4 linked regions of the Pelodiscus sinensis genome follow. The protein of the gene in region 2 interacts with the protein of the main gene of each other region in a pairwise test. Links are inferred from orthologs where the notes say so. Each region holds a gene or a part of one and is shown on either strand. Other genes may lie near its edges.

Region 1 (7,011 bases), on a different chromosome or scaffold from region 2:
GTTGGAATATTTGCCTCCTGCTGGGTATTTTTATCAGAAAACATAATCTGACGGCAAGCTGGCAGTGGCTAGAAAGGAAGGCCCTTTGGTGTAAATCCGTCGGGTTTGGCTGGGGTTACGCCGGCGGCTTTGCCTCCTTGCATCAGTGGGTGGGAGACGTCTACCTCCCGGGTTTTCCTGAGCGCAGCACAAAGAACCAGCAAAATGCTGTTGTGTTTCCCCAAAGACCCCCCCTTCTCAAAGGTGCTGGCCTGGCTCTCGCCACCTGCGCCCCCCAAGGAGAGATTTGGGGGAGATGTTTCCTTCCAGCGCCATGCCTCGTGGTGGCTGTGAGCTTCCACTCGCCAAGCGGGTTCCTTTGCTTCGTTTTTACATAAATAAGAAACGTGTTTTGTGGTGAGAAGTCGCGATGGCGCAGGCGGCATTTTCCCGTCAGCGGTGCCCCCCACCCCCGAATGGGGGAGTGAATTTGGGAGCTTGTGGAGACAAAGGGTGGACAGAGCCCTAGAGAACCCGCTGCTGTGCCAGCTCCGCCAGGGTCCCTCAGTCCTGACCTCCGGGCCCCACGCCCCCGTCCCAGTCCTTCCAATCCTGAGCCCCACTTTGCCAGCTTGGCCAGTGCTCCCCAAGCTTGGCCCGCAGCCGGCTTACTGCTTTGATGCTGGACGCCCTCCTCCGCCCTGGCACGCCCATGACTCTTCCCTTCTGGGCACAACAGAACCCGCTGATCACCCAGCACTGGGGTCCCTCTCCACCCCCTCGGCGCCTTTCATTGACTGGGGCCGGAGGAGGGGTCAGGCAGACTCCTTCTCGCTGGTCGCTAGCACAGGGCTTCCCGCGGCCTGCGACAGTCACCCAGGGCTTCCTGCAGCCGCTCCCTGCTCAGAGCCGCCTGTCCTGTGGGCTGCAGCGAGAGCCAGAGCCCCCAACAGGCGGCTTAGCTGGGGGCACTTTGCTGCAGTTCTTGCCTCTGTGAGGTCAGAGAGGCGAAGGCAGGTTTCCATAGCAGCCTTTGCAGGTGCCAGGGGAAACTTCTTCGGCGCCTTTATCCGGTTGCTGGCAGGGCCCAAGTGGCGATGATGCTCCGGGGAATTGGGTCCCAGGCCACGGAAACCTCCGATTTCCCTTCTGCCTGGTGGTTCCCTCAGCTCCCCGGGAGCGATTCCTGCTGGCCGCAGGCTCGCTGGGAGCAGCCAGACGTGTGCGTGCCCCTGGGCGGGTTTGAGACCCCCCGCCCCGAGCGGCCGCGTACGGAGCCCTGTCACTTGTCAGCTTGCTGCCTGCGGGGCCCGATCCTGCGGTGCCGTGCGTTTGGGCTGGGCGTGGGACGCAGAGCCGGGGCCAGCGGGTGGCGAGCCAAACTCTGCCTCCGTCCGAAATCCGGTGGGTTGGTTTTGCAAAACTCGGGTGCAGCGCCATTTCCAGAACTCTGGCTTCTTCCCTACGTTTGCCGCCCCGCGCTTGGCTGGGCGTTCAAATCCTTTACTGTTCTGTTAAAGTTTAGAGCAAACGGGGCAGTGGGACCCGCCGCTCTTTCCCCTCCACTTTGGCGGTTGCTTTTCGCTGTTGCCAACAGTTGCACAGAGGAAAAAAAAACCATTCAGTCCCCTGCAAATCAGCCCTTTCCTTTGATGCTATATTTGCCGATCTCCCTGCACAAATCTATCCTGTGCCGCTACTTTATTTCCCCTTCTACAGCTCTCGGCGTTGTTTGTGTTCTCTGCTCAGACAGGAAAAAATATTTGAATGCAGGCTCCTTTTTTTTGCAAATAGAAAACTGAAAGAGCTAGTGAACCATGATTCAAGTGTCTGAGGGGAGCCTCTTTCTTTCTTAGCATTAATTAACTCAAGTTCGTTAGGACATTGAGTCTGCTGCACAGTTTTCTCTTGTGCGGACTAAATCGGGTCAGAGAGGGAAAATCGTAGCAAGCAAACACTTTGTGTCGGAGCAGAAGAATGCCGAGAGAAAACAGAGCGATATCATGATTGCACGGCTGCATATTTGCATGCGTGGGGTTTCCTAGAGATATATTTGTGCGGGGGGGGGGTCCGTATCGGGAGGATAGAAATGCCCCTGCCGCCTCGTCCTAGACTCTGGCTTTTGACTAGCGCCGGGGAAGCGGAGGGTCAGAGCAGGCGGGGAGAGAAAGAAAGATGCTGTCCCCGCAGCCTGTGCCAGCCGAGCTCGGGGAGGGCCGGTTTTGCACTAAGCTGGCGGCTGACTGAGCAGGAAAAAGATTTGTTCGCTTTTAAGCTGGGGAGGCCACGGCCTCTGGGTGCACGCAGGGCGGGGAGACCAAGGCACAAAGATTCCAGCCCGGAGCCCCCGGAAGGCGGTCGAAGAGACTGTCCGTGCCCCTTCCCCGGCCGGCCGGGGCAGGTGTTGTGCGCTGCAGACGGGAGAGGAAGAACGCCACGTTCCTCGGCCAAACCCCCGTGCGCCTGCAAAACTTTGGCCCCGATTTCTTCTCTCCCTGTCGCAACAGGCGCAAGCCCCGGGCGGGTGCCGGCGACAGTTATGTGCTATTCATTCCCTAGGGCAAGAGTTTGCCAGGGTGCCAGGGCCTGTTCCTATGGCAACGCCGGGAAAGCTTGACACGCCGCTGCTGGAAACGAGAGCCCCCAAATGAAAAGCGTGGGGGGGGGGGAGATAAGATCAGGAGTCGGAAAGTTTGACTTGGAGTTAGGAAAGCTCCTCAACTGTCCCTCAGGCCTCGGAGCGGATTGAAAAACATCCCACCGAGTGAACGGATTCCAGGTTCGGCAGGTGCGCGATGGGCTCCGCTGGGGGTGCAGCCCCCACCCCAGTGTGTCTGCATGTCAGGGGCCCGGCCTGCGGGGGCATGGCCAGCCAGACGGGCACAGGCACCCGGCCAGGTCTGGGTGCGCAGTCGGGTGATTTTCCCTGCGTTTCTCTTTCCTCCCTGCCCGCCTCGGCCTCCTCCCCAGGCCTTCTCTTCCCCCCGAAATCCCGCCCGGGCCTTCCTCCTTTCCAGTCGCTTCGGCTCTGTTGCTTTGCCGTCCCGGCGAGGGGCACGTCTGATCCACCGCCCCCTGCGGCTCTCGCTGCCGGGCGCTGGTGCACAGAACCCAGCGCCCCGGCCCGCCGCTCGAGAGCCCTGCCTGGCCATGGTGTACTGCCCCCTCGTGGGTGCCCCCCCACCCTCGTGGGAAGACGGTGTCCCTCGGGCCCAGCTCAGCCGTGGGCCGGGGATGGGACTGTGCTCAGACAGGTGCGTTGGTATCTCTGCCGCCGGGCTCCCGTGCGGCCGGAGGATGGGCAGAGCCCACAGGGAGAGCAGCCGCCGCCGCGCATTCGCCTGCCCGGCTCCTGCCGCATGGAGCCGGCCTGTTCCCGGCGCGTGGCGGCTTGGTGCTCTCCCGGACTCACTCGAAGGGGGGCCCTGGCCAGCCCTGTGGGTGCCAGCCCTGCCCGCCTGGGCCCAGTCCCACCGTTGCTCGAGCAGGCGGCGATTTGCAGCAAGCCCACCTGAGCACCCTCCGAAAACCCGCTTTAACCCTGTTCCCCATTTGCTTTTCCCTCTCTCCTCCCTCCCCGCGGTGGCCTTGCCCTCCACGCGCTTCCGCTGCCTTTCCCCTTGCCTGGGTGTTCGCCTTCCCCCTGCGGCCCCCCCTTCTGACTTTGTAGTTCCAGCGCGCTCCCCCCAGCTGTTTCGTTTCCATTTGATGGTCCCCCCAAAACCCCCCGTGTGCCGGCGCCCTGCCCTCCTCCGGGGTGCCCGCTACCCGCTGCCCGTCTGCGTGTGGTTTGGATCGGAACGGTCGTTGTTTCCTTATGGGAACCATCCCGGGGGCGGGGAAGGATCCCCCCACAAGCAAATCCCTCGCCGAAAGTGAAAGTTCAGCCTTCGGGTCTAAACCCTGGAGACTCGAACTCCGAATCGTCCCTTCTGGGAGCGAATCCTCCCTCCCTCGTCTTCCCCCTTCCTCTTTCACTTTCACTTTTTTCTTCTCTCTCTCTCTCCGCTCTCCCTTTTCTTTGCAACTTCCCCCCCCACCCCCTGGACTCGGCTTTCGTGCCTTCATGGCACCAGTCCAAATTCCCTCCCCCGCCTCGCGGATGGAGGAGAGCAGGCAGGCACAGGTATTTTGTCTCCCCTAACAAAGCGGGGGGGGGGTGGTGCGGGGGGGGACCAGTCACCTTTGTGTGGCTCCCCGTGGGGCGTGCCCCCCGGACGGGGCTGGCCACAGGTATAAATGCAGGCAGGCCCGAACGGCCCCGAGCAGCGGAGGGCAGTGGGGAACCGTGGCTTCCTCGTGCGCGGTGTGCAAGGGGCGGATCGGAGCCTGGGGACAGCACAGCCCTGCTCGCCTGGGCTGTGGCTAGGTTTGGGATTGGGGGCGGGGGGGAGCCGGGGAAATGACAGCCGTCGCCCCCCACCTCGGCCCTCCCCCACCATCCCCGCTCGCGCTTCCTTGGCAGCCTGCTCGGGAGCTGGAGAGCTGGCAGCAGGGCCTGGGCCTGCCTGCGGGCGTCGGGGATAGAGCCGCGGCAGGCTAGCCGGTGGGCCGGGCCCGCGCTCCCGATCGCCGCAGCTCGGCCAGGCCAGCCGGCACCTGGGCGCAGGGCTCCCGGCGGGTAGGGATGCTGCGGTACTACGGCGACGGCGGGCGCGTAAGTGCCTGGATGGGCAGATTGGGGGCATGGCTGGGGGGTCGGGACCAGTCCTCCCGCTTTGGGTAAAAGCTGCCATTTCAGTCCCCCTTGCCTCGGCTCTGCGCCCCTGGAAAGCCGGGATTTCTCAGCCGCGGGCTGCCGGGGGTACAGCCAGAAATGCCTGCAAGTCAGGGCCGCTTTCTCCCCTGGCGTTCTCTCCTCTCTCCTTCCCCCTTCTCCTTCTCTCCTCCACTTCCTCCGTCTTCCTGTTTCCTTTCTCTTTTCAGTCCCTTCTCGGGCCGCGGGTTTCCCCCTTCCCTTCCCTCCCTCCCACCCCCTTTTCTTTCTCTCCTTCCTCCTCTCTCATCCCCTTTTTCTCGCCTTTCCTGGCTCCCCTTCCTCCCTTTCTCTCCCACTTTCTCCTGCTTTCGCTGTCGGGTTTTCTACTCGATGCAGCTGAGCGTGCGGCACGGACAATAGCCGAAAAATAAATAGTCATGCTTTGCACAGAGGCAGTGTCGGGAGGGCTCGCCTGGAGAAGGGGACTTTAAAAGTATCCTAACTTCGCACCCCTTTGTCCGTCCCCCAAAATAAGATTTTTTTTTTTGGCTTCCTAGGATATTTTAAAAAAAGTCAATCGGCCCCTTTAGCGACCGGGTCTGTGTGCTAACATTGGCAAGCCGCGTTGCCACCCATTCTAGCGCTTACCCGCGGGGATCAGGGGGAGGCGGGAAGTCAGTCGGCATCTCTTTTTTTAAAACATTTTTGTTTGGAAAAAAGAATCACCCAAGTTGGCAGGGACAGGCCAGGCCGGGAGGCCTGGGGCAAATCCTTGATGACTGTCGAATTGGGCCCTCGGTTAGGAGGCAAAAAAAAAAAAATCTTTGCCGTGATGGTGTTTTTCTGTGCGGTTGGGAATGGGCAGGGTTTGAAACTGACGATTCTGCCGCTTAGAAAAAAGTCTCCGCGGCTTTAATCTGAACCGTGTGTGGGGGGGGGGAGGGGGGAGGTGCAGATTTGGAACGAAATCTTCTGTCCTTTTTTATAAATAGACAGAGAGAGAGAGAATGCGGGAACGAGGGACAGGGAAAGAGAGAACAGCTGCTTTTTCCAAGGCCTTGTGGGACTGCCTGGGTTGGGTTTTTTTTGGTTGTTGGGGTGGGGGTGGGGGTGGGGGGGTGGAGAATGGAGTTTTTTATTTATTTAGCAATTTTGTGCCAGTCTCCCGCACTCCGAACATCCAGCGCCCGAGGAAAAAAAATGAATCGTGGCTGGACTTTGCTTATTCATTAGATATAAACTTGTCGATTTGGCAAATTGTTTTCAGTCTCTTAACTGCACAGTCTCTGTGCCACCGGCCCCCCCCAATCCAACCCCCCCAGTTTCTGCTCCGCCAACCCTCCCCCCCGCCTCCCTTTCGCTTTGATGCAGCCATTGGCTGGTCTGGAAATGTGTCTGCTTGCCAAATACGTGAATCCTTCCTCTCTCTTTCGCTGGCATTGGCACAGGCGAATGGTTGGGGACCGAGCATGAAAGGAGCGAGCGAGCGAGTTTCGGATGGAAAAGGGAAAAGGGGGGTGGAAGGGAGGAAAACAACAACAAAACCCCCCAAAACCAAAACAAAACCCAGCCCCAACGCCTGAGCACTTTGGGTCCTGCCAGCGGCGGAGCACAGTCGGTTCCAGCGCGGCGTCCGCCCCTTCCCCTAGGCCTGCGCTCGCCCTCCGCCCGGGCGGAGGGACCCGCAGCTAACTTGGCATCTTGGCGCCGCTGCCAGCACCGCAAAGCCCTCCCCCCCTTTCTGCCGCTCCTCTCCCTCTCTCTGGGTTTTCTTCCTTCCTTCCTTCCTTCCTCCCTCTGTTTGTCTTTTTTTTTCTGGAGGGGCCGTTTGGGAAATATATTTATTTTGACCTGCCGCGGGGTTTCTCAGTTAGAGTATTGGGGTTCTACAGATCCATCACGCTGTGCCCCACACCTCCAGCTCCAGCCTCCTTCCGCCCCTCCCCTATTTCCATCCTTCCTGCCCCCCATTTTTAAAAAATTCCCTATTCCCTCCACAAGCGAGAACTCCCCCAAGCAAGCACCCCCATTCCTCCCCCCCTTTCTCCTCCCTTTAAAATTTCTACCTTCCCTCCTCCTTGTCCCCTCCTCCCCCTCCGGCTCACAGCCCCCACCTCCTCTTCCCTCCCCCCTCCCCCCGCAACTCGGTTGAGTCCAGAATTTCCGAATCGGGGGCTTAGCTTTGCCGGAATGAGACGGAGCAATGGTAATTATGGTGCTTTTTGTCATATTTCGTTTGGGGGGAGGCAGCTTGAGGAAGAGCAGATCTTCCAAACGAAAACACTCCCCCACCTGCCGGTGAAGAGGTTAACCCGAGACTCAAAGTACAGTGG
Region 2 (6,946 bases):
ACCCACTGAAGTCTAGGGGCTTGAGAACCAAGCTTCATTCTGCCAGTTCCAACACCTGGGAAGTAGAACAAGTGCTGGGATCCCATCTGACTGTCCCTTGATCTCAGTCAGCTTGTGACTAGCAGTCAGGTGAAATCAGAAGCTCACTCTTAGTTCTCTCAGTTTGCTGGAAGGAAACTTTCCTTTTTCCCTCCCTCCCAGTCCCCCAAACAACTGTTCTAAGTTTCTACACTGCATTGATCACTGGAGCATAGGAGCCAATACACGGATTTCTGTAATGCATAGGAGCTTTAGTCAGGGACCAGGACGCTGATGTTAGGCACTGTACAACCAGAATGAGGATGGTCCTACACTGAAGAGCAGAGGAGTGTCTGCTTTTCTCTCTCAATGTTCTGGGAAACTGGAGAAGAGGCAGACTGAAATCGCAAGTGTCCCAGTCTTAGAGTCTCCCCAGTTTTTTAAATGAGAAAGTGATTTTTTTTTAATGTATATAGTTAACTCAACTGCTGTTTAATCTAACCCAACTCAAGGCTACCTACAGAGAAATATGGAACTGCAGTCGTTAAACTGATCAGCTCTAGTTTCATTATTCTGCTGCTTGGGAAAAATATGAGCAACAGTGGAAGTATTAGTGCTTGTTACAGAAACATGTTCTAAAGTCTTCTTTTTCCTTTGTAATGAGCATAAGTTTAAAAACAAATTGCAGAAAGTAAGAGCTACAACACCCTCTCGTCCACAACCTCACTCAGGCATGTTTACTACTCAGCACGAACATAGATTTTTATTTTTTAAAATAAAAACCTCTAAAGATTTCCAAGCCCACACTCAATATACTTTGAATGCAAAGTTAGTATTGCATTCGACGGTAAAACACATTTTCTAGTAGAATGTACACAAGTTTATATTGGCAGGCAGGCATCTTTACCATTATCTATTAAAATATCAGACTGGATCTGTTTATGCACTCAGTTTATCCATTATGTACAGCTCATTTAAAAATGAGGCAAATACTCATTGCTGCTAAAACTTGGCAGAATGCATCTTTCTTTACACTGTTCTGCAAAGTTTGCTGCTTGGATACATGGATATAATTCCTGCCTTCTCAGCTTAATTGCTTTTTCCACTAAATAGGGTCCGAAAAGTAGTCCAACCTAATGAGCACATGTGGTTAATTCATAAAACCTAGAGACTCAAGATACTGAAAATGTACACACACATTTGCAGCAGGTGGGCTATCTGGACTCACCAGTCACCATGTTGCAGGTATTTCTGCTGCACTTGTCTTGAGCTCTTAGACTGGTAACATTCTGGAGAAGACAGAACAAAGAAGCTCTTTCTATCCCCAGGGGTTTTGGTTTTAGTTAAATGTTATTTTTAAAAGAGACTTAATAAAACACACAAGATGAATAGAGTCGTAGTAATATTACACCCTTAACAATTAGACAGACATTACCAGACATGCCCAATTCCTAACCATTTTTTTCAACTTCCAGATCTTAAGAATATGTATGAAGACAGACAGTTCTCCATGTACATCTTTTTGCGCAGTGCAAAATGTTCTTCTGTGACAAAAGTTATACAAGTTCCAGTACATATAACAGGCACTGGAGTTATTGAAACTTAGAACAAGACATCAATGGAAAAAATATTAGAGTTCTTTTCTTGCTCCTTTCTCCTCACAAGCATTTAAGGTGGAGCAGAGTAACTATGCAGAGCTGGGGACCAAGAGTCCAAATAAGGCTCTTGGAGGACTCAACAAAAAACTCAAAAAGGGGGAAGAAACCAGCACACACGAAGGCACTGTGTTAAACGGAGAGAAGACCAAGCTCCGCGCTCAGCCGTTCCAAGACGTTTTAAGGCCTCCGATTGTCGGCACAAATATCTCTTTTTCTTCCTGCAGCTCTCACACAACTGAACAGACTTGATTAGCCCTTCCCTGAGCCACGCACCCCTCTGCAAAACCGAGCACGGCTTCGTGCAAGCCAGTGAAACTTTGAGACCACCGGAGCCTGACAAGCCAGGTGCGTGCGGAGAGGCTTTCCGGTGACCGCGCGCAGGTCTCCGCGGACACGAGGCGGCTTAGGAAGCGGGGCGGGGAGGGGGTCCCGAAGAGCTCTCGCTGCACGTGAGCGGCCTCGACCCCCGCTGTGTCCCCACGGGGAGACTCCCGGGCCGGGCGCCGCCAGGCTGCGGTGGCGCAGGGGTGGCCCGCAGCGCGGCGGGAGGCTTCCGAGAGGCCGGAGCGACTGCGGGGCCGCCGCGCTGCTGCCCGGCTCCCGGCCAAAGCCCGAGCGAAGCGCCCGGCCCGCGGGCCGGACCCGCCTCGGCCGCGGCCTTCTCGCGCACGGGCAGCCCGGCAGAGCGGCACCCGCCCGCGCCGGGGACAGGGCGAGCCCGCGGGGCGGGGGAGGGGCCCGCCGCCCTACAGGCCCGGGGGGGCAGCCCCAGGGAGGCGAGCGCGCCCCCGCCCCACGCCGGGAGCGCGCGGGCCCGCGCGCGTGGCCGGCAGCAGCCGCGCACAGGAAGGTGCCGCCCCGCGGCGGGGGGAAGGGACACGGGGGCGCGCCCCACCTCGCGCGGGAGAGGAACAGGCCTGGCGCGGGCACGCGCCGTCTCGCTCCGCTGCGCGCTCCCGGCAACGCCACACAACAAACGGGCCCGCGCCGGAACCCGCGGGAGCGCGCCGCCCCCGGAACCGCCGCCGCCGCCTCCCCCCTGGAAGGGGAGGCCCCGCCCGGCCCAGCCCGCCGCCGCCCGGCCCAGCCCGCTCCGCCGCCGCTCGGCCGGGCCCGCCCCGCCTCACCCTGGCCCCGCCGCCGCCTCGCTCCGCCACCGCCTCGGCCCGACTCCTTCCCCTCACAGCTCCCTGGGCGCCATCTTACATTCAACCCCCGCAGCCAATCAGCGCTCGGCCCCGGCCTCGCGAGAGCGCGGCCGCCAAGCCCCGCGAGAGCTCCGCGCCGGAGCCGCCCCGCGCCTTAAAGGCGCCGTGCGCAGCCCCGCCCCTTGGCCGGCCCAGAGTCCACAGGAGGCCCCGCCCCCGGGGCCCAGCCTGTCCTAGAGCCCCGCCCCCCGGCCGGCCCAGGGCCCGGCGCTGCACAGCCACCCTGGCCGCCCCCGGCCCCGCCCCCATGGCCACTGGCGCCAGGCTCCCGGCGTGCTGGAACCCCCCGGGGCATCGCAAACCCGCAGCCCCCGGCGCGCGCCGGCCTGTGCCCCCCGGAGCCCCCGCGCCCCCCGGAGCCCCCGCGCCCCCCAGAGCCCGCGGGCCAGCCTGTGCCCCACAGATCCCCTGTGCCCCCCGGAGCCCCTGTGCCCCCCAGAGCCCGCGGGCCAGCCTGTGCCCCACAGATCCCCTGTGCCCCCCGGAGCCCCTGTGCCCCCCAGAGCCCGCGGGCCAGCCTGTGCCCCACAGATCCCCTGTGCCCCCCAGAGCCCCCGCGCCCCCCCCGGAGCCCCTGTGCCCCCCAGAGCCCGCGGGCCAGCCTGTGCCCCCCAGAGCCCCCGCGCCCCCCCCGGAGCCCCTGTGCCCCCCAGAGCCCGCGGGCCGGCCTGTGCCCCCCAGAGCCCCTGTGCCCCCCCAGAGCCCGCGGGCCGGCCTGTGCCCCCCGGAGCCCCCGCGCCCCCCAGAGCCCCCACGCCCCCCCAGAGCCCCTGTGCCCCTCGGAGCCCCCGCGCCCCCCCAGAGCCCCCGTGCCCCTCAGAGCCCCCGCGCCCCCCCCAGAACCCCCGTGCCCCTCAGAGCCCCCACGCCCCCCCGGAGCCCCTGTGCCCCCCCAGAGCCCCCGCGCCCCCCCAGAGCCCCTGTGCCCCTCAGAGCCCCCGCGCCCCCCCAGAGCCCCCGTGCCCCTCAGAGCCCCCGCGCCCCCCCAGAGCCCCTGTGCCCCCCGGAGCCCCTGTGCCCCCCCAGAGCCCCCGCGCCCCTCAGAGCCCCCGCGCCCCCCCAGAGCCCCCGTGCCCCTCAGAGCCCCCGCGCCCCCCCAGAGCCCCTGTGCCCCTCAGAGCCCCTGCGCCCCCCGGAGCCCCTGTGCCCCCCCAGAGCCCCTGTGCCCCTCAGAGCCCCCGCGCCCCCCCAGAGCCCCCGCGCCCCCCAGAGCCCCCGCGCCCCCCCGGAGCCCCGCAGAGCCCACGTGCCGGCCTGTGCCCCCCGGAGCCCCCGCGCCCCCCCAGAGCCCCCACGCCCCCCAGAGCCCGCGTGCCGGCCTGTGCCCCCCAGATCCCCTGTGCCCCCCGGAGCCCCCCAGCCCCCTGGAGTCCCCCAGAGCCCGTGGGCCAGCCTACGCCCCCCAGAGCCCACGGGCCGGCCTGCACCCCCCAGAGCCCCCGCGCCCCCCAGAACCCCCGAGAGCCCGTGGGCCGGCCTGCACCCCCCAGAACCGCCAAGAGCCCGTGGGCCGGCCTGCCGCCAGGCACTCCAGGCTGGAGCTCTCCAGCGAGGCCACACAGGGCTCCTCGGGGAGCCCTCGCAAGTGCCCAGCGAGAATTCTGGCAGCCACGAGAGTAGCTGCCAAGGGAAGCGGGGCAGGAAGGGGGCTGGCCAGGCAAGGCCCCGGAAGAGGACAGAGGCAGGAGATTACTGGGTCGCACATGAGAGACACAGCAGCTCTGGCTGCACTCAGGCGCAGGGAGTCAGACCAGGAGCTGCAGACATAAGGCCGATGGGGCTTGGATGCTGCAGCCCCAGCTCCAGCAGAAGCAGCCAGGATAGTGGCAAGGCTTGGAGAGCTGCCGAGCCCATCTGAGCCGCAGGATCATGGATTTCACGCTCGCCGTCAATCCAACACCCCCCTGACGGCGCAAAGCCAGGAGCCTGGGCGGGAGGGCGCGACCCGGAGAGACGCTAGGCCCTTCCAAAAGCAAACACTGGGCGTGTCACTCGGGGGTGGCTGGGCAGTGACTGGCCTGCCCTCGGCTCGCACTGCTGAGCTCTTTGCCAGAGCGGGAGCAGCACACCCAGGCACTGCCAGGGGCTTGTCCCTAAGGTGGGCCCCTCTCAGGGCTGACCCCCTCTGTCTGCTCAGCTGGGCCCCACGTGGGCGACATGCATCACCTGGCCGTGCCCGGCAACTCCCATGTTCTCCCTTTGCCCCCTGGCTCTAGGAGCAGTCCCCAGTCCCCGGGGGCAGCAGGCTGCCTCCAGCAGGCCAGGCCTCACCTTCCATAGTGCCACATGTGAGCTGGGGCGTGTGGACCGCTTGGGGGAAGGCTAATTACACAGAGGGATTTGATTGGTCCAAGTGTCCCCCCCAAGCTACAGGGCAGCCAGGCGGGGAGAGGGGGCGGAGTTGTTTGTTACCCCACTGAACACACAGCCACATCCAACACAGGGCCAGTGGGGGAGACACGGCAGCCCAGGGGTTAAGAGAAAAGTGATTCCTTCAGCACCATGGACTTACACCAGGGCTCCCGCTGGCCCTTGCTGGGCACCTGCTCTGTGGTCTCCTGCCAACCCTTTGCTGCGCACTCAGGACAGGCGTGGCCCCAGCAGGCCACGAGGGCCAGTCTGGGTCCGTGTGCATTGGCTTGGCGAATGGAGCTGTACGGGCCCTGCGCCAGCCCAGGGTCTCCTGATCCAGGCACACAAGCCGCTAAACGGATTCTCCCGGGCAGCCCTCCCTCCGGCAGAGCTGTCGGCCACACTCTCCACAGCGAGGAGAGTACCTGGCAGCGCCCCAACCCCCACTGCGCGCTGCACGACGTGGCAGCCCTCGCCTGGGCGGGAAACCAGCCCCCACCCCTCCTCGCCAGCACAGGGTCGCTGGCTGGGCGAGCTGAAAGCGGGGGCTGGACTGTTGCTGGCGGAAGGCAACGAAGGGGCAGGCGTCTGCCCGACCCACCGGAGGCTGCCACAGCCAGCGGCCACTCCAGGACTGGTGGAAGTTCCAGGCGGGAGCCCCAACCCTCCCCGCCCTGTGCCCATTCACTCCCCACAGGCCCCGCCAGGGCCCACTGGCAGCAGCTGGGCAGCGAGAGCCATGGAGCCAATGTGCCTGGGAAACCGGGAGGTGACTCCGTGGTGGCGGTGAGCTGCCCCCGGGCCCACGCAGCCGCTCCGTCCCCCCACCACTGTCCCCCCCGGGCCCACGCAGCCGCTCCGTCCCCCCACCACTGTCCCCCCCGGGCCCACGCAGCCGCTCCGTCCCCCTACCACTGACCCCCCCGGGCCCACGCAGCCGCTCCGTCCCCCTACCACTGACCCCCCCGGGCCCACGCAGCCGCTCCGTCCCCCTACCACTGACCCCCCCGGGCCCACGCAGCCGCTCCGTCCCCCCACCACTGTCCCCCCCGGGCCCACGCAGCCGCTCCGTCCCCCCCCACTGTCCCCCCCGGGCCCACGCAGGCGCTCCGTCCCCCCACCACTGTCCCCCCCGGGCCCACGCAGCCGCTCCGTCCCCCCACCACTGTCCCCCCCGGGCCCACGCAGCCGCTCCGTCCCCCTACCACTGACCCCCCCGGGCCCACGCAGCCGCTCCGTCCCCCCACCACTGTCCCCCCCGGGCCCACGCAGCCGCTCCGTCCCCCCCCACTGTCCCCCCCGGGCCCACGCAGGCGCTCCGTCCCCCCACCACTGTCCCCCCCGGGCCCACGCAGCCGCTCCGTCCCCCTACCACTGACCCCCCCGGGCCCACGCAGCCGCTCCGTCCCCCCACCACTGTACCCCCCGGGCCCACGCAGCCGCTCCGTCCCCCCACCACTGTCCCCCCCGGGCCCACGCAGCCGCTCCGTCCCCCACCACTGTCCCCCCCGGGCCCACGCAGCCGCTCCGTCCCCCCCCACTGTCCCCCCCGGGCCCACGCAGCCGTTCCGTCCCCCCCACTGTCCCCCCCGGGCCCACGCAGCCGTTCCGTCCCCCCCACTGTCCCCCCCGGGCCCACGCAGCCGCTCCGTCCCCCACCACTGTCCCCCCCCCGGGCCCACGCAGCCGCTCCGTCCCCCTACCACTGAC
Region 3 (7,366 bases), on a different chromosome or scaffold from region 2:
ATAGGACGAGCACCTCCGACCTGGCTGAGTTTCTCCTGGAGCAGAGAAGAGCCAAGGTGATTTTTCAAAGCCTGAAGTTGATTTGTGCCCAGCCCATCCAACAGGAGCATTTGCCCCCCAATGCCTAGTGGTGAGGACACCGTCATCCAAATGCCTGCCCTTCCGAAACAGCACCACTTTCCCTTCGCCACTGTCATTGCTGCCAGTTAACTGTCACCCAGATCCCTCTCGCAAGGTGACATCCCAATTCCTGATTCGATAGGTGTTTAAACCAAGGCCTAACTTCAGTGACTGGGTCCGAAGGGAACTCCTTGCATGTCTGCAGAGTGCTCCTGTGCTTGAAAGATACGTAACAATAGTCATTAGTGTTAAAAGATTGGGAGGGGTGTGGGATGGAAACCAGGACCTAACCATTGCTTGGCAAGGGGCCTGAGTCTGACACCCTTCCTCCCTTAACCAGCCCCTTCCTGCCTCGGCAATTCCACTGGTTGCCAAAGGACACCTCAAGGCCTAGGAGGCTTTTCTTGTCCCTTGGTCTCTGTTGTGACAGAGGGGGTTGCTGTGTTGCTCATGAGCAGAGTTGTTGACTCGAGTCCCACGACTTGAACTTGATTCCGATTTAAGTCATCTAGGTGACTCGACTTGAGACTTGACTCGGGCTCATTGTTTGTGACTTGACACTCGACTTGAGACTTGCTAATTTTGTTAAATCGACTTGGTGAAAAAATTGTCCGAAAATGCCAATATTGATGGCTTGTACAAAAGTGACTTGACATTTTTTAAATTAAGACTTGAGACTTGACTTGGGACTTGACTCGAAAGTGACGTTAGGGGCTCGAGACTCAACTTGAGACTTGAACTGTAGTGACTTGAGACTCGACTTGGACTTGACAACAATGACTTGAAGACAACACTGCTCATGAGTGGCTAAAGAGACGGCTGTGCACCTGGCAGGCCTTGTCACTTGAAGTGCCTAAGGCCAAGGAAAGGATTGCAGTCTGCGTCTGCTCTTTACAACTCAGCCACTGTGGTCCCCGGCAGGTAACCTCACCCGGGGAATCCCATTGCTCACCATGGCTTCCCAAAGTGCGCTGTCAAGTACAGACCAGGCCTGGCTGACAGCGTCAATGTCACGATAGTTTAAGCTGCACTTCTGTGCATTAGCCCTATGGCCTTGGGTCCCTAGGTGGAAGGGAGGCGACACTTTTGAATGATGGGAGAGGCCCCCAACAGGCAAGGGGCTGAGGACAGAGGCAGTGGTGTATTCCTCTTGGAAACAAAGCAGTTGAACCATAACAGGCAGTCAGGCCTTGTGACTTCATTCTGCTGCAGGATCTAGCTTGTGCCCAGTGCCCTCTCAAAACTCCTCTGGAAACGCTCTATCGGCTGATTTCAGTGCAAAGAACTTAATTCTTGCTCTAGAGGCGATCGAGTGACAAGGCCAGAAGCTGCACAATGCTGAGCTGGCACCACCGGGAAGTGTCTGCCTAGGTTGCCAAATGTCCGGTATTCACCCGAACAGTCTGGTATTTTCACCTCCTGTCCATTAAAAAAATTCAGAAAATACTGGACACCTAAAATGTCCGGTATTTTTGTGGGGTTTTTTCCCTGCCAGGAGGCGAAAATACTGGACACCTGGCAACCCTACAACACACTCAGCAACTGGTCCCAGTCCCCTGACCTCTTGCCAGGCCCCCTCAGAAACTCCCCCGCTTACCTGGTTCTGCAGGGGCTTGTCTTATGGCTGGAACAGAAAAACAAAATGGCCACTGGCAAAAAAAAGCCTCTTCTTAAAGGGGCCATGCTGATTTTTAATTTTTAATGTTTAATTTTTTTTTTTGCTCAACAAGTTTGGCCTCCCCCTTCTTTTTTCTCAACAGAATTTTTTTTCCATTGGGTTTTGTGTGTGTGTGTGTTCGGTATTTTTGGTTAAACCATCTGGCAACCCTATGTCTTCCTGGCTCCTAGCCCCCTGCTCCTTCCACACTTTCACACCTTCACAAGTCCCGCACCCTGGGATTAGTCTGAGGCTGAGGTAACGTTTGGAGGGAGGCCTCAGAGCCGAACCATCACCACCTCGCCACTGTCAGGTACGGCTGCTAATCAGTGAGTCGGGGCAGAGGATGAGGGAGGGAAGAGGTATAGTAATGGGCTGAAATGAAGCAGAACACTGAGGCAAGGATATCAGGCTAGGTGGCTGTCACGCACTGAATAGCCTCTGGAATGGTCTTCCCGGGAAGCAGCCTGTTCTAAATTAGAGGATGTAGGGCAGGTGGAGGTACAGCATTGGCAGGGGAGTGCACTGGGTAACCTAATAGGCCTTGTTTAGCCTCAATTCTTCAGGAAGGAGCGCTCTGCCATTTTGTAACTACAGGCTAATTCTGGGTGAGCTGGGCATTCCTCTAGAGGCCTGGGAGACGCACCATCTCTGGAGGACTGCAAGGCAGCGCTGCTCTGGCGTGGAGCCTGCCAAGGCACCAGTGAAGTCATTCTGTCTTATTGTGAGCCAGTGATCTCACCTGGTTCCGCACAAGCACGTAGACGTCCTCTGCCCCCACTGCCCAACAGCGGCGATCCCAGGGCCACGATAAAGCCCAGTGGTCCATTTCTGAAAGGAAGGGCCTTAAAAGCCAGCCCTTGGTATCTCCATGGGGACAACGGGCTTTTCGGGACGCATGAGGGGTGGGGGGGGATGGCACTAGGGAAATAAAATTCAGCTGCCAAAGGGCAAGGAGGGGTAGGGAATGATTTCCCTACCTCTCCCATTGCCTCTGTGGGGCTATCCCCGCCCCAGAGGGCAGCACTGCACAGTGTGTTGTTTTGACTCAGCGCGCGCGCACACACACGCACACACACACACACACACACACACACACACACACACACACACACACACACACACACACACACACACAGCGCTACTGACAGCCCCAGCTGGAGCTTTGGCAAGATCTGTGAAGGTCAAAGGCAGCCCAGGCCTGTTTCAACAAATGCGATGGGTCCAAGCCCTGGACGCCACCAAGAGAGTTTCTGTGCACTTCAAAGGGAGCTGGGTGAGGCCCAGAGAAAAGCCTGGCCAGCCTTCAAAGCAGCGAGAAAGAGGAGGAGCGAGCGACGTGGGCTGGTCATTATTCCCTACGCCCCGTGGGGATGGAGGCGTGCGTCTGCTTGGCTTGGCCTGCTGCATACTGAAATTATAGACCCGTAGCGACTGGCACGAGCGTCAGAGCTGCAGCGGGGGATGCGAAAAGCACCTCCCCCCAGGTCTGTCAATGTTCAGCAGCTGGGGTGAGCGTGACCCCAAGCCCCCCGACACCTGCTGCGCTGCCTGGGAGAGCAGTGTCTACGGCAGCCCCGTGCTGGCACTGGGAACCTCCCTGCACGTGGCCAGGCAGTGCAGGGGGGCAGCGGAGCCTGGCCCAGCCCTGAGTGGGTTTAGACAGCACCCAGCCATCCACCGTGCTCCACGAGCCTGGGTGCAAAACCTCCCCACAGCACTGATGTGGGATGCAGTTTCCCCTCCTGCTCTGGCATTGCCTGCTGCAGCCCTGTGGGGAGGCTGGGGGCCACAAGGAGAGGGGAAATGCTGGTCTGCCCCACAGCTTCTTGCTTTGGGAACGTCAACGGGAAAGACCAGCCACCCTGGTCAAACCCTCCCCAGCCAGTGGTGCTCCATATGGTGGGCAACCTGCCCCCCCCACACACACACACACTTGCCTGCTGCTTAGGGTGCCATGGGCAAAGCAGGGTCCAATCTAGCTCACAACTGGGAACTGGCCTTCTAAGCCTGACAGCAGTAAGTCCTAGGTGTCACTGCCAGGGCCGAGTCAGCCTGCTGCTCTGGCGCACCAGGACCGTCTGTAAAACCCCACTCCATCCTCGTGCAGAACCACAGATCATCATGCAACCCCGTAGAGGCACAGAGCACACGGGAATGACTCACGCTCCCTGCCTGGCTCACTCCGGCCCTGCTCCCGGTGTCCTTACAGTGTTGGGCGCACCACGGCTCTGCTAAAATTTAGGGCCAGTGGGTATTTTAACATGGTGACAGGAGAGAGCTGTAGCCTGCCCTGAAGCTATTAGCAACATGTTGGCTGCAGTGTAGCAGCCTCAGGCTAAGGAGGCAGGCAGGGAGGGAGCAGAGCAGAGGGAGTGGCAGGTGAGGAAAGCTACCTAAACTTGGCTGCCCCACGTAAGTGTTCCCGGCCCAGTGGGAGAGGTCAGCTGTCGCAACAGATTCTCCAAGGGTGTTTCATCTTCTCCAAAATACCCAGCTGACACGGCCAGAATTGCAAAGCACAACCTCCCCCTCCCACTCTCCCCAAGCTCCATATAAATAGAAGGCTCCCAGCTGGCTGGAATGTTAGAGAAGTTTCTGGACTTGGAGAACACACATTTATTTAAGCTCCTGCCAGGGATCTGAAGATAAAGAAGCAGGAAGAAAGAAGAAACAAGGCTCTCGAGTTTGGAAGTTTCTCATTCCCACAAAGAGATTTTCATCTGGGTTTTTTTTCCCCCCTCTCCTCCTCTTTCTCTTGTGTGGGATTTAAAACAAACAGGAAACTTTGTTCTCTCCTCTCACTGCTTTCTGCATTTTTAAATCTTTGAATGATTCAGCTCTAATTTTTTTTTTTAAATTTTGTTGTTTTGGAGGGCAGGAGGATTCTGGTATAAACTGCCTGTCAGAATCAAGGCACAGCAGTTCCTCTCTCCTTGGTTTGGGGGAGTGGACAAATCTTTCTTGGGAAATTCTTCCACTGAAGCTTGGCACTCAGGAACAGAAAAGCAAACACAGACATTTCCTGGGGCAGCTGGTGCACCAGAAGCTGGATAAGGTCGGAAGAATTTTATCCTCTCTTGCTGTTGCATTTACCATAGAATAAAATCATGGCTGATGGCCAGATGCCCTTTTCCTGCCATTACCCCACCAGGCACCGAAGTGTCCGAGACCGCTTCAGAGAGCCCGGCTTGTCCTCTCGACTCCTGGATGATGACTTTGGCATGTGCCCTTTCTCTGGGGACCTGACTGCAGACTTGCTGGACTGGGCTCGCCCGCGACTGACCAGTACATGGCCTGGTCCACTGCGGTCAGGAATGGCCCGAGCCTCCCCTGGCATGTCCCCTCCTGGGTACAGCTCCAGGTTCGGCAGTTACCCTGAAGATCGGAGTCCTGCTCCCTTCTCTGGGGAGCCCTGGAAGGTGTGTGTCAACGTGCAGAGCTTTAAACCTGAGGAGCTGACGGTGAAAACCAAGGATGGCTTTGTGGAAGTGTCAGGTGAGCGAGGGGCCAGTGGAAAAGGAAGGGAAGCGCAGAAAAGAGGAACACAGGGGAATGGAAATAAAACTAGGTCCTTAAAAATGGAGTTGTTGCTAGTGGGAGACAGCATTCAGGGCCTAGAGCAGGGCCACTCAACACGCAGCCTGTTTGTTTGCACTCCACAGTGCAGTTTGGTTTTACACGGGGCTCAAAATGCAGCCAGTGGAGTCAATAGAATGGTCTTCTGTTGATACTCGTTTTAGGAGTTAAATTCCTGGTGCTGTCATGAGGGTGGAAATCAGGTAATTATTGCATTTTATTAATATCAGCAGAACTGACTTAAATGGGGCCTGTGTGTTGTGTAGTCTTGCCCTAATCTTTGAATTTGTGCCCGTCAGTGTGAAAGAACTTAAAAAACAACAAATAGTCTGGTAGCACTTTAAAGACTAACGAAACACGTAGATGTTTTGTTAGTCTATAAAGTGCTACCAGACCATTTGTTGTTTTTTAAGTTTATCCTGTGCAGACTCGGCTCCCCCCCCCCCCCAAAAGTGTGAAAGAAGCTATTTGCATATATTTGAGTATATATTTGTATATATATGCAACTACACTTAAGTTTTGGGTGTGAGTATCACTGTGTCAGTAGGCCCAAGCCTGCTTGCTGTGAGGGTTTGCAGGGTTGGGCTCCTTGCTCATTCTTTTAATTACGGATCATTTCAGAGTTTATGCTACCCTGGGGTGCAGGAGGGGAGGCTAAGTGGGAGGGGAATTCCTTTAAAGGGACAAAGTCTAATTACAGTCCTTGGGCATTCACCAGTCAGGAATGCCCCTCCTCTACAGTCCCCAAACAGTTGCAAGTCTTAAAGGGGCAGGACAACTAGACCAAAAGAAAAGCAGGAGGCAGGGGGGCTGGGAAAGAGATGAGTGCAAAGAGTTAAGTGGAAGTTTTAAAATAAGGCAGGATTAACAACCCAGGAGAAAAAGCACATACATTGTGCAATGGAGTCAGGGAAGGGTGATGGAAACCGAACATAAAATTGGAAAACAAAGGGAGAGGTTAACAGAGTAGAAACAACAAAAGAAATAACCTGGGGGGAGGGGGAACCCTTTCTTTACGTTGTGTCTAATCATTAATTCATTTAGCAGCCCCAGCAATAACACTGATGACAGAGCCAATTCGCTGGTGCCGAATGAAGAGGCCATAAGCTCGTCCATAAAAATTCTATTGTGATTTCCCCTGCAATTAATGCAGCATTAAAAATAACGTGTTACCAGGAAAACAAAGTGGGCAGAGGGGGAAAAAATCCCTGATGAGATTCTCTTTCCACAGCCCTGCTAAGCAAGCGCCAGGGGGAAGGAAGCGACTTATCCAGTAGGCACAGTGCCTAGGGCCCACGATACTTTTAGGGGCCCATGAAAATGTTTTAATGTCTTTTAAAATCAGAAGGAAAAAAATGAACTTTTAGGGTCGAAGAAAATGTTTTAGTTTTTTTCTCACATCAGAAAAAATTGAAACTTTTAGGGCCCACGAAAATCTATTACATTTTGCCTCAAACAGAAAAAAAATGTTGAAGTATTTAAAGTTATATCAAAAATAATTTTTAATATATATTTTTTTTATGGAGGAAGGAGCCCACGAAGGCAAAAGTGCCTAGGGCCCATGAAAGTCATAATGCGGCTCTGGGTCTGAACAGCTGAAAAGTAAAAGAACCATGGCTGCCTCTTCAGCTGCTTTAAACCAGTTTCACTCCCTTGACTTGAAAAGAACCGTGCTGGTTTACTCCAGCTAAGGAGCTGATTCAGAGACAAGAGCAGTAAGTGCTCTGACCACCTGCCCATCCCCCAGGAAGGAAGGAAGAGGGTTATACTAGGGATAGGAGAGAATTACATAAAGGCCGCTCCTGGGAGGGGAAGGGTGGAGGGGGGGAGTCCATCGAGATGTGCTTTCAGCCTGAAATGTCAGGAGGGAGACTGGTACTACAGCAAAACAATGGGAAAACGTTGGGAGTGCAATGACCCATCAGACCAGAGTGGGTAAAGTGTTAAGCCAATCCTATGCTGATGGAGGGAGAATATGGATTATTCATGGATCTCACCAGGCTTGGATTT
Region 4 (7,631 bases), on a different chromosome or scaffold from region 2:
GCCATGGATGAGCCTTACCACCATTGTGATCATAGTATCACTCCTCCAAAGTAAGAATGTGAGCAAAAACATATTAACTTCATTGATTTATAGTCAGGACTATCACCCAACATACTTAGCTTCATGTTAATTCTGATCAATTGCTCCTAGCAATCTGATCAAACAGACTGGGACTCTTAGCCATGGTGATATTGTTACACAGCTCACTAGAAGTAGCAAGCCCTTTGAAATATATAAACTAGACGTTATACAGTAAATCAAAGATGATGTACCAAATTTCACTACACATACAAAACTGATTTCAGAGGCAGGTCAACTGGGGTAGAGAATAAGGATGTTAAGTAACGATTAATTGACTAGTCGAATAGTTGATGGAATTGTCGATAGGCACTTCTGCATTCCTCCTCTGAAATGTACAAGAGCCCCCGCTGGGGCTCTTCTACATTTCAAAGGAGGAATGCGGAAATCCTCATGCAGCCTGGAGACAGCGGGAAGTCACGCTGACTCCAGGCTATGCCAGCTTTGAAATGTACAAGAGTCCCCAGTGGGGGGCTCTTGTGCCTTTCAAATTGGCAGTGCAGCATGGAGCCTGGAGTCTGACCCCGGGCTCCATGCTGTACTACCAATTTGAAATGCCATGCAGCTGGGGACTCCCTAGCTGACTGCAGGTTCCACACAGCATTTCCTGAGAACCCGGGATCAGCTGGGGAGTCCCCAGCTGATCCCAGGCTTCACACAATACAGCGCACAGCCGATCCTGGGCTCAGCTATGCAGCACTGCCCCTTTGAACGCCGCCTCAGCTATCTGATAGAGGCAGGAAGAGGGGGAAATCAATGAGTTGACTAACTATCCAAAAAGCATTTGCTTATTGGACAGTCAACTAGTCCTTAACATCCCTAGTAGGGAATACTACATAAAAATAGAAGGAAGTTTTGTCCACTGAGGCTAGTGTTACTCATTGTACTGCAAGTATCAGAAGGGTAGCTATTAGCCTATATCTGCAAAAACAAAATGAGGCCTGTGGCACCTTAAAGACTAACAGTTTATTTGGGCATAAATAACTTCCTATATGCCCTTGCCCACAAAAGCTTATACCCAAATAGACGTTAGGCTTTAAGATGCCACTGGAACCCCTCATTGTTGATTATACTGCAGTAGCCCCCAAAAGCCACCATCAGGATCATTAGTCCATGTGTAAACAGAACCAGCGATGACCCTTGCCTACGGGCTCTGCAACACGTAACACCAGTAGTGAGAACACGAGTGGTGGGACAGCAAGAGTGACAAATTCCAGTTCTGATGAGGGACACAGGCACTAGTATCTGAACAAAGCTCACAAGGCCTTGGTCACTGAAGGCTTTGCATTAAGGTGCATGAATTATACAGAGCTGAATCAATACCCTAACCCAGTGGTTCCCAACCTGTGGTCTGCAGACCCCGGGGGGTTCACAGCGATACTGTAAGGGGTCTGCATGGAACTCCTCACAGACAGTACGTCCTACAACCCACACAGCTTCCCCAGTGGGCTCAGGGACGCCACTCAGGAAGGAGCATGGGCTGAAGGACATGCAGGCACAGATATATTGTTTGGGGGGGGGGGAGGGGTCCGTAAATTTTTAATAGATTGAAAAGTGGTCTGGGTCCTCGAAAAGATTGGGTGCCACTGCCCTAGTCTGTGGCTTGAATCCACAGTGACAATGGCATTCAGTTCCACTCCTGCAGCCCTGGACCACAAGCTGTCACTGCCAGAACAGCAGCCAAGCACCCCACCTGAATAGATCCAGCCATCCCCAGTATCCCCAGAACAGGCCTGGCCCTGGAAGTGGCTGGCAGAGCAGCCCTTCAAGCCTGACATCCCCGGATCCCTTCTAAGCTTCATAAGTAGCCTACCCATCCCCCAGCTGCCAGGGCCCAGTGCCTCCCCACAATCAAAAGCCCAGTCCCCCATAACCCTCCTCATTTACCCAACAACCCACGAGTGGAGCCACCCCACAACCCTCCTAAACTACCCCATAACCCCGAAGTATCCCATGTCATCCCCCCTCACCCGCCATCAATCCCAAGCAGCCCTGAGGATGGTCCCGACCCCATGAGCCTCGCACCACATCCCCAGCAGCCCCTAAACTGGCCCTGCCCCCATGAACCTCCCATCCTACCCCCAGCAGCACACAAGTTGGCCCTGCCACCCTATAACCCCCCCCCCCCAAACTGGCCCAGTCCCCCATGAACCCCCCCCTCCACGAGCTGGCCCAGCCTCCCCATTGCTCCCCCCCGGCTCCCCCCCCCCGAGAGCTGCTTCCCCTCCCCCCCGGCTGCCCCCCCATCTCCGCTCCCCCCCGGCTCCCCTCCCCCTGCGAGCTGCTCCCCCCGAAAGCTGCTTCCCCTCCCCCCTGGCTGCCCCCCCAACTCCGCTCCCCCCCCCCGGCTCCCCCCCGAGAGCTGCTTCCCCTCCCCCCCGGCTGCCCCCCCACCTCCACTCCCCCCCAGCTCCCCCCCCCGAGAGCTGCTTCCCCTCCCCCCCGGCTGCCCCCCCAACTCCGCTCCCCCCCCCGGCTCCCCCCCGAGAGCTGCTTCCCCTCCCCCCCGGCTGCCCCCCCACCTCCGCTCCCCCCCAGCTCCCCCCCCGAGAGCTGCTTCCCCTCCCCCCCGGCTGCCCCCCCACCTCCGCTCCCCTCCCCCCACGAGCTGGCCCAGCCCCCAGGGTTCCCGCCAGTCAAGTTCAGGCCCTGCCCCCACCCCCGGCTTGGGGCCTCCGGCCGCGGCCTGGCGCTTGGTCCGCGGTGGGCGCCGGGCCCCGCTCACCCCGCCAGCGAGCCGCCGCTGAAGAGGCAGGGAACGGCCGTGTGGCGCCCGGCGCCGCCGAACTCCTCCGCTGCGCGAACCTTGTACGCAAACTGCGTAAACGCCGCACCACAGGTCATTGGGGGAGGGGAGGGGGGAGCTACGCAAACTCCGTAACGTGAAAGCTGCCGGCTACGCAGCGCCGCGAGAGCTCCGCAGAAGCAGCGCGGGAAACGGGGAGGAGCGACCCGAAGCGCTGTCCTGCGCAAGCGTCGTACGTCAGGGGCGGTGTTCCACCAATGACGTAGCAAGACCATAGAGAGCGCCGCCACAGGCACCGGCCCGCTGCTGACCCCTAGCGTCAGCTCCCTGAGCTTGCCCTGCAGAAGGGAAACCCCCAGAAGTTGGTCCCAATAAAGATATTAAGTCCCCCAGTTTGTCTCTCTAATCATGTTCCTGCAGGAGAAGATCTATGAGCGGGAGAGAGAAGAGGAACCATAGGCTCAGAGTAATTAACAGTACAGTTGTGACTAGGAGTTTAATTACAAAGAGGCTTCCCAAACCTTCAACATATTAAACACCAGGGCTGTCTACGTTGGCATCCTTTCAAGTAGGAATAAGGGATCTTCTGGAAAAGGGTTTATTTTCCACACTATCGCGTCTAGACTGGTGCTTTTCTCCGGCAAAACCCCGAGCTGGAAAAAAGCAGCAGCCATGTTCATGCAAATGCCACGGGGGATATTTAAATCCCTGCAGAATTTGCAATTCCGGAGTGTCTCATTAGCATCCCTTTTCCGGAAAAGGGTGCCAATGAAGACGTAACCCAGGGCTGTGTCTAGACTGGCAAGTTTTTCCGCAAAAAGCTGTCTACACTGGCCACTTGAATTTCCGCAAGAACACTGACTTCCTACTGTCTGAAATCAGTGCTTCTTGCAAAAATACTATGCTGCTCCCGTTCGGGCAAAAGTGCTTTTGCACAAAGCTTTTGCGCAAAAGGGCAGTGTAGACAGCTCAGATTTGTTTTGCGCAAAAAAGCCCTCATCGTGAAAATGGCGATCGGGGCTTTTTTGCAGAAAAGTGCGTCTAGATTGGCACGGACGCTTTTCCGCAAAAAGTGCTTTTTTGGAAAAGTGTCCGTTGCAATCTAGACGCGCTTTTCCGCAAATGCTTTTAATGGAAAACTTTTCCGTTAAAAGCATTTGCGGAAAATCATGCCAGTTTACGCGTAGCCCAGGACTGTGCCTCACCCATTGTCATACAGGCCTTGCCAGCGTGACTCCAGGTCCTAGGATATGACTGGTTCAAAAATCCTGGAACCTGCTTTCACAGTGACACAAGAAGCTCCTCCAGGGCAGCAGAAGACAAGGAGTGTCAGGGAAGTGCTGCCCAGGCTTAGGGCGGTGAGGTTGTATCTACATGGCACCGTAACTCAAAATAAGATACGCAATTTGAGCTACGCAAAATGCATATCTTATTTCCATGCTATTTCAGAATACAGCATGATTCCGAAACGTCCCTTACTCCTGGTAGAAAGAGGTTTATAGGAACGTCAGAATAGTGAGCCTATGAACATACCAGGCTTTCTGTGAAGATGCGGAATAGCTATTTTGGGATACTCCGCTATCCCAAAATAGCGTTGCAGTGTAGATGTAGCTTGAGTGGGGGCCTGGGGAAGTGCTGCTGAGCCCTGGACAGACCATGATTTTTGATCCCTTGAAATGGACAATACAGGTGACCCCTAATGTACGACCTCCCGACTCAGGACACCTCGCATAGACGACTGCCCTGCTCCAGCCCTGCTCCTGCACAGTGAGCCACAGAGTCAGCCAGTTGCCCACAGCCCTGACGGGCACTGGGCACAACTCACACCACGCCACTGGCTCCAGGACACGTGAAGCCGCCTCCACCCGGACAGCTCTGGGAGCAGCTTGCAAGCTTGCACAGTGCTGTCTCCACACAGCATAGCCCCCAGCTGGCTCTAGGAGCAGCTCGCACCGTGCTGCCTCCACCCAACATAGTCCTTGGCACTGGCTCTGGGACACGTGGAGCCACCTCCACTTGGCACAACCCCTGGCTGTCTCTGGGCCTGGCGTGCTGGGGACTACAACTCCCAGGAGGCAAAGCGGGCCAGGAACGGACCCCCCCCCCCATTTATATCATTGTGCCTCTGGGAAATAAGGGTTCGACTTACAACAGCTCAACTTACGATGGTTCGCCAGGAACCAATTAGGTTGTAAATATGAGAGTCGCCTGTACTGCAAACATCCCTTTTTTTCCAGGCCCTGTTGGTTGTTTGATCCTGATTTTTGTATCTACCCACTGGCAAACTGGCTACCTAAAAGAGCCACTGAGCAGCTAAGCTAGCAACTCTGGGGCCCTTCCACTAGGATTCTCATGTGTGGGAATCTTGCTGCTGTCTCCATTTCCAAGCCCCCAGTGCTCTGCAATCAATTCCTAGAGCCATCCCTCTCCCACACACATAGCTAATCCATTGGAATACTAGCAAAAGTGGCGGGGCAGGAGGAGGCTGCCGTGCTGTGAAGGAAAAACTGCATTTCACCCTCTGATGCAGACTTCCTTGAGACTGACCAAACTACACCCTTAGTTACGCCCCATGGCAGATGCCCTGGGTTTCAGTTTGCAGATCTGGGAGGCAGGAGTAGCTTGGTGATCTCAGCAGCAACACAATGATACAGAAGTGATTCCCTGTGCTCCTTATCCTACTCTTCCTTTTTCACCTTGTGCAATATTCTGCACCAGCAGTGTGGGGGGAATCAAGCTTTTTGTGCATGTAAAGCACATGGGTGTTATGTCATCTGTTAGTGGCTGGCCCACAGGAAGGACAAGGGCCTTACTTTTACAGCTAGCAAGGGGAGATGTCCTTGAATAGACAGGTCTGTGTTTTTGGAGAAGACCTTGAGCCTTGTTCAGCTGAACTGGTATGTGTGATTTGTCTTGCACTGGTGTGGTGGTGCTTGCTAAAGGTGGATTCGTTACAAGCTTCCACCCAGTTTAATAAATGCGTGGTGCAAAACTCATTGGGATCACAAATATACCTTGCACAATATTATCTCAAAAACTCCCTGGGATGAAAAAGGTGTCCAAAAAAGATGTACAATGTCTGCCTCCAGCCAGGGATGGATATAGGGCAGGGCGAACGGGGCAGCCGCCCCAGGCCCCGCGCTTCAGAAAGCCCCGCGCATGCGCTGTGGCAAAGGGGGGGCCCCGCGGAATTATGCTGCCCGGGGCCCCGCAAAACAGTCATCTGCCCCTGCCTCCAGCTTTGACTTCTCAGGCCAGCTAATGAGAGGAAAATAGCTTCAGTCTTTGAAAAGGGAACAAAACCATATTTTTAAGTCACTGGAATGAATAAAAACAAAATAAATTCTGTTCCTTGTTTTCTCTTGGGTTTTTTAAAATAATATTTTATTGTAATATAATATCCCCCAACTCATCTTAGGGATGCTTGAAAAATGAAGACATACTAAATGTCGTAGCTTCTTCAAACTCATTTGAGAAGAATTCTTTGAGTACTGAGGGAGAGAAACTATGCCCAGAATATCTTTGTACAGGGGTGGATTGTGGGGTCATGGATCAGAACAAGTGGGGGCGTCTTCCACCTGTACTTGGAAGCCCCTGTACCTCAACCCTGTTCCCCAGCAGGAACGCCAGGTGGGTGGGTGGGTGCCCATTTTTCCAGGGGTCCTCCAACTGACCAAGGCAACTGGGCACAGGCCCCATTATTCCACTGGTTAATCTACCCCTGTCTTCACAATATAGAATACATGAACCCATCCTTGTTTGTGCTATCAGCAGGTTTTCTTTTAAACAGCATCTAGTAAGTTCTTCAATCTATTTTTCAACACAAGCACACATAGGAACACCTGTTACACTATTTCAAACTATATAGAGTAGGTTTTGGCCTTACTCCGACATGGTTCTGTAACTTTGCCACGTGGTCTTATTTTGGGCCTAATCCAAAACCCACTGAACTCAACTGGAAACTTCCCAGTAACTCAGATGAGCACTGGAGCATGTCTCAGGTATGTGTTATATGAAACAGTATCAAATTACATTGGGGTATTACATAAGAACATAAGACCGGCCATACTGAGTCAGACCAAAGGTCCATCTAGCTCAGTATCCTGTCTGCCGAAACTGGCCAATGCCTGATGCCCCAGAGGGAGTGAACAGAACAGGGAATCTTCAAGTAATCCCTCTCCTGTAACCATTCCCAGCCTCTGACAGAGGCTAGGGACACCATTCCTATCCATCCTGGCTAATATCCATTGATGGACCTAACCTCCATGAATTTATCTAGTTCTTTCTTGGACCCTGTTAAAGTCCTGGTCTTCACAACCTCCTCTGGCAAGGAGTTCCACAGGCCAACCGTGCGCTGAGTGAAGAAAAACTTCCTTTTGTTTGTTTTAAACCTGCTACTTATTAATGTCATATGGTGACCCCTAATTCTTATATTGTGGGTACAAGTAAATAACTTTGCCTTATTCACTTTTTCCCTACCAGTTACGAATTTATAGACTTACAAGCTGGTTCCCCCCAGCACCGTCTCTGCGGGGATGGAGGGGGGGAGGGCGGGGAGGCAGAGGCGCAGTGGTGGAAATGGTGTGAGCAGGGCCTGAAGCAGTCTCCACTCACCTGGGGTCCCGACTGCTGCGCCTCATCCTTTGAAATGTACAAGAGCCTGCAGTGGCTCTTGTACATTTCAAAGGCAGAGGTGCAGCAGGATAGCAAGTGCCCCCCTTATTGACTAATCAAGTAGTCAATGGAAATTCCATCGACTATTCGATTAGCCAATTAATCGAAATTTAACATCCCTCAAGGGACAGCA

Evidence for each region.
Region 1: the proteins of QRICH1 (region 2) and NFIX interact in binary tests that used the Homo sapiens proteins (3 or more experiments, as listed by UniProt). The two-hybrid records come from large-scale screens. The link is inferred for Pelodiscus sinensis from reciprocal best matches to the Homo sapiens genes QRICH1 and NFIX.
Region 3: the proteins of QRICH1 (region 2) and HSPB8 interact in binary tests that used the Homo sapiens proteins (3 or more experiments, as listed by UniProt). The two-hybrid records come from large-scale screens. The link is inferred for Pelodiscus sinensis from reciprocal best matches to the Homo sapiens genes QRICH1 and HSPB8.
Region 4: the proteins of QRICH1 (region 2) and RBM17 interact in binary tests that used the Homo sapiens proteins (3 or more experiments, as listed by UniProt). The two-hybrid records come from large-scale screens. The link is inferred for Pelodiscus sinensis from reciprocal best matches to the Homo sapiens genes QRICH1 and RBM17.

What each region holds. Positions count from the first base shown.
Region 1 is NC_134729.1:12,880,111-12,887,121, reverse strand, and holds the start of NFIX (nuclear factor 1 X-type), read left to right. Parts: upstream 1-3,994; 5' UTR 3,995-4,045; coding exon 4,046-4,105; intron 4,106-4,283; exon of another isoform or gene 4,284-4,606; coding exon of another isoform or gene 4,607-4,636; intron 4,637-6,725; exon of another isoform or gene 6,726-6,881; coding exon of another isoform or gene 6,882-6,884; intron 6,885-7,011.
Region 2 is NC_134721.1:6,958-13,903, reverse strand, and holds the start of QRICH1 (transcriptional regulator QRICH1), read right to left. Parts: upstream 3,008-6,946; 5' UTR 2,883-3,007; exon of another isoform or gene 2,804-2,882; intron 1,308-2,803; exon of another isoform or gene 1,247-1,307; intron 1-1,246. UniProt on the Homo sapiens protein: Transcriptional regulator that acts as a mediator of the integrated stress response (ISR) through transcriptional control of protein homeostasis under conditions of ER stress.
Region 3 is NC_134725.1:10,137,227-10,144,592, reverse strand, and holds the start of HSPB8 (heat shock protein beta-8), read left to right. Parts: upstream 1-4,350; 5' UTR 4,351-4,887; coding exon 4,888-5,275; intron 5,276-7,366. UniProt on the Homo sapiens protein: Involved in the chaperone-assisted selective autophagy (CASA), a crucial process for protein quality control, particularly in mechanical strained cells and tissues such as muscle. Displays temperature-dependent chaperone activity.
Region 4 is NC_134711.1:8,475,603-8,483,233, reverse strand, and holds the start of RBM17 (splicing factor 45), read right to left. Parts: upstream 3,010-7,631; 5' UTR 2,923-3,009; coding exon 2,804-2,922; exon of another isoform or gene 2,738-2,803; intron 1-2,737. UniProt on the Homo sapiens protein: Splice factor that binds to the single-stranded 3'AG at the exon/intron border and promotes its utilization in the second catalytic step. Involved in the regulation of alternative splicing and the utilization of cryptic splice sites.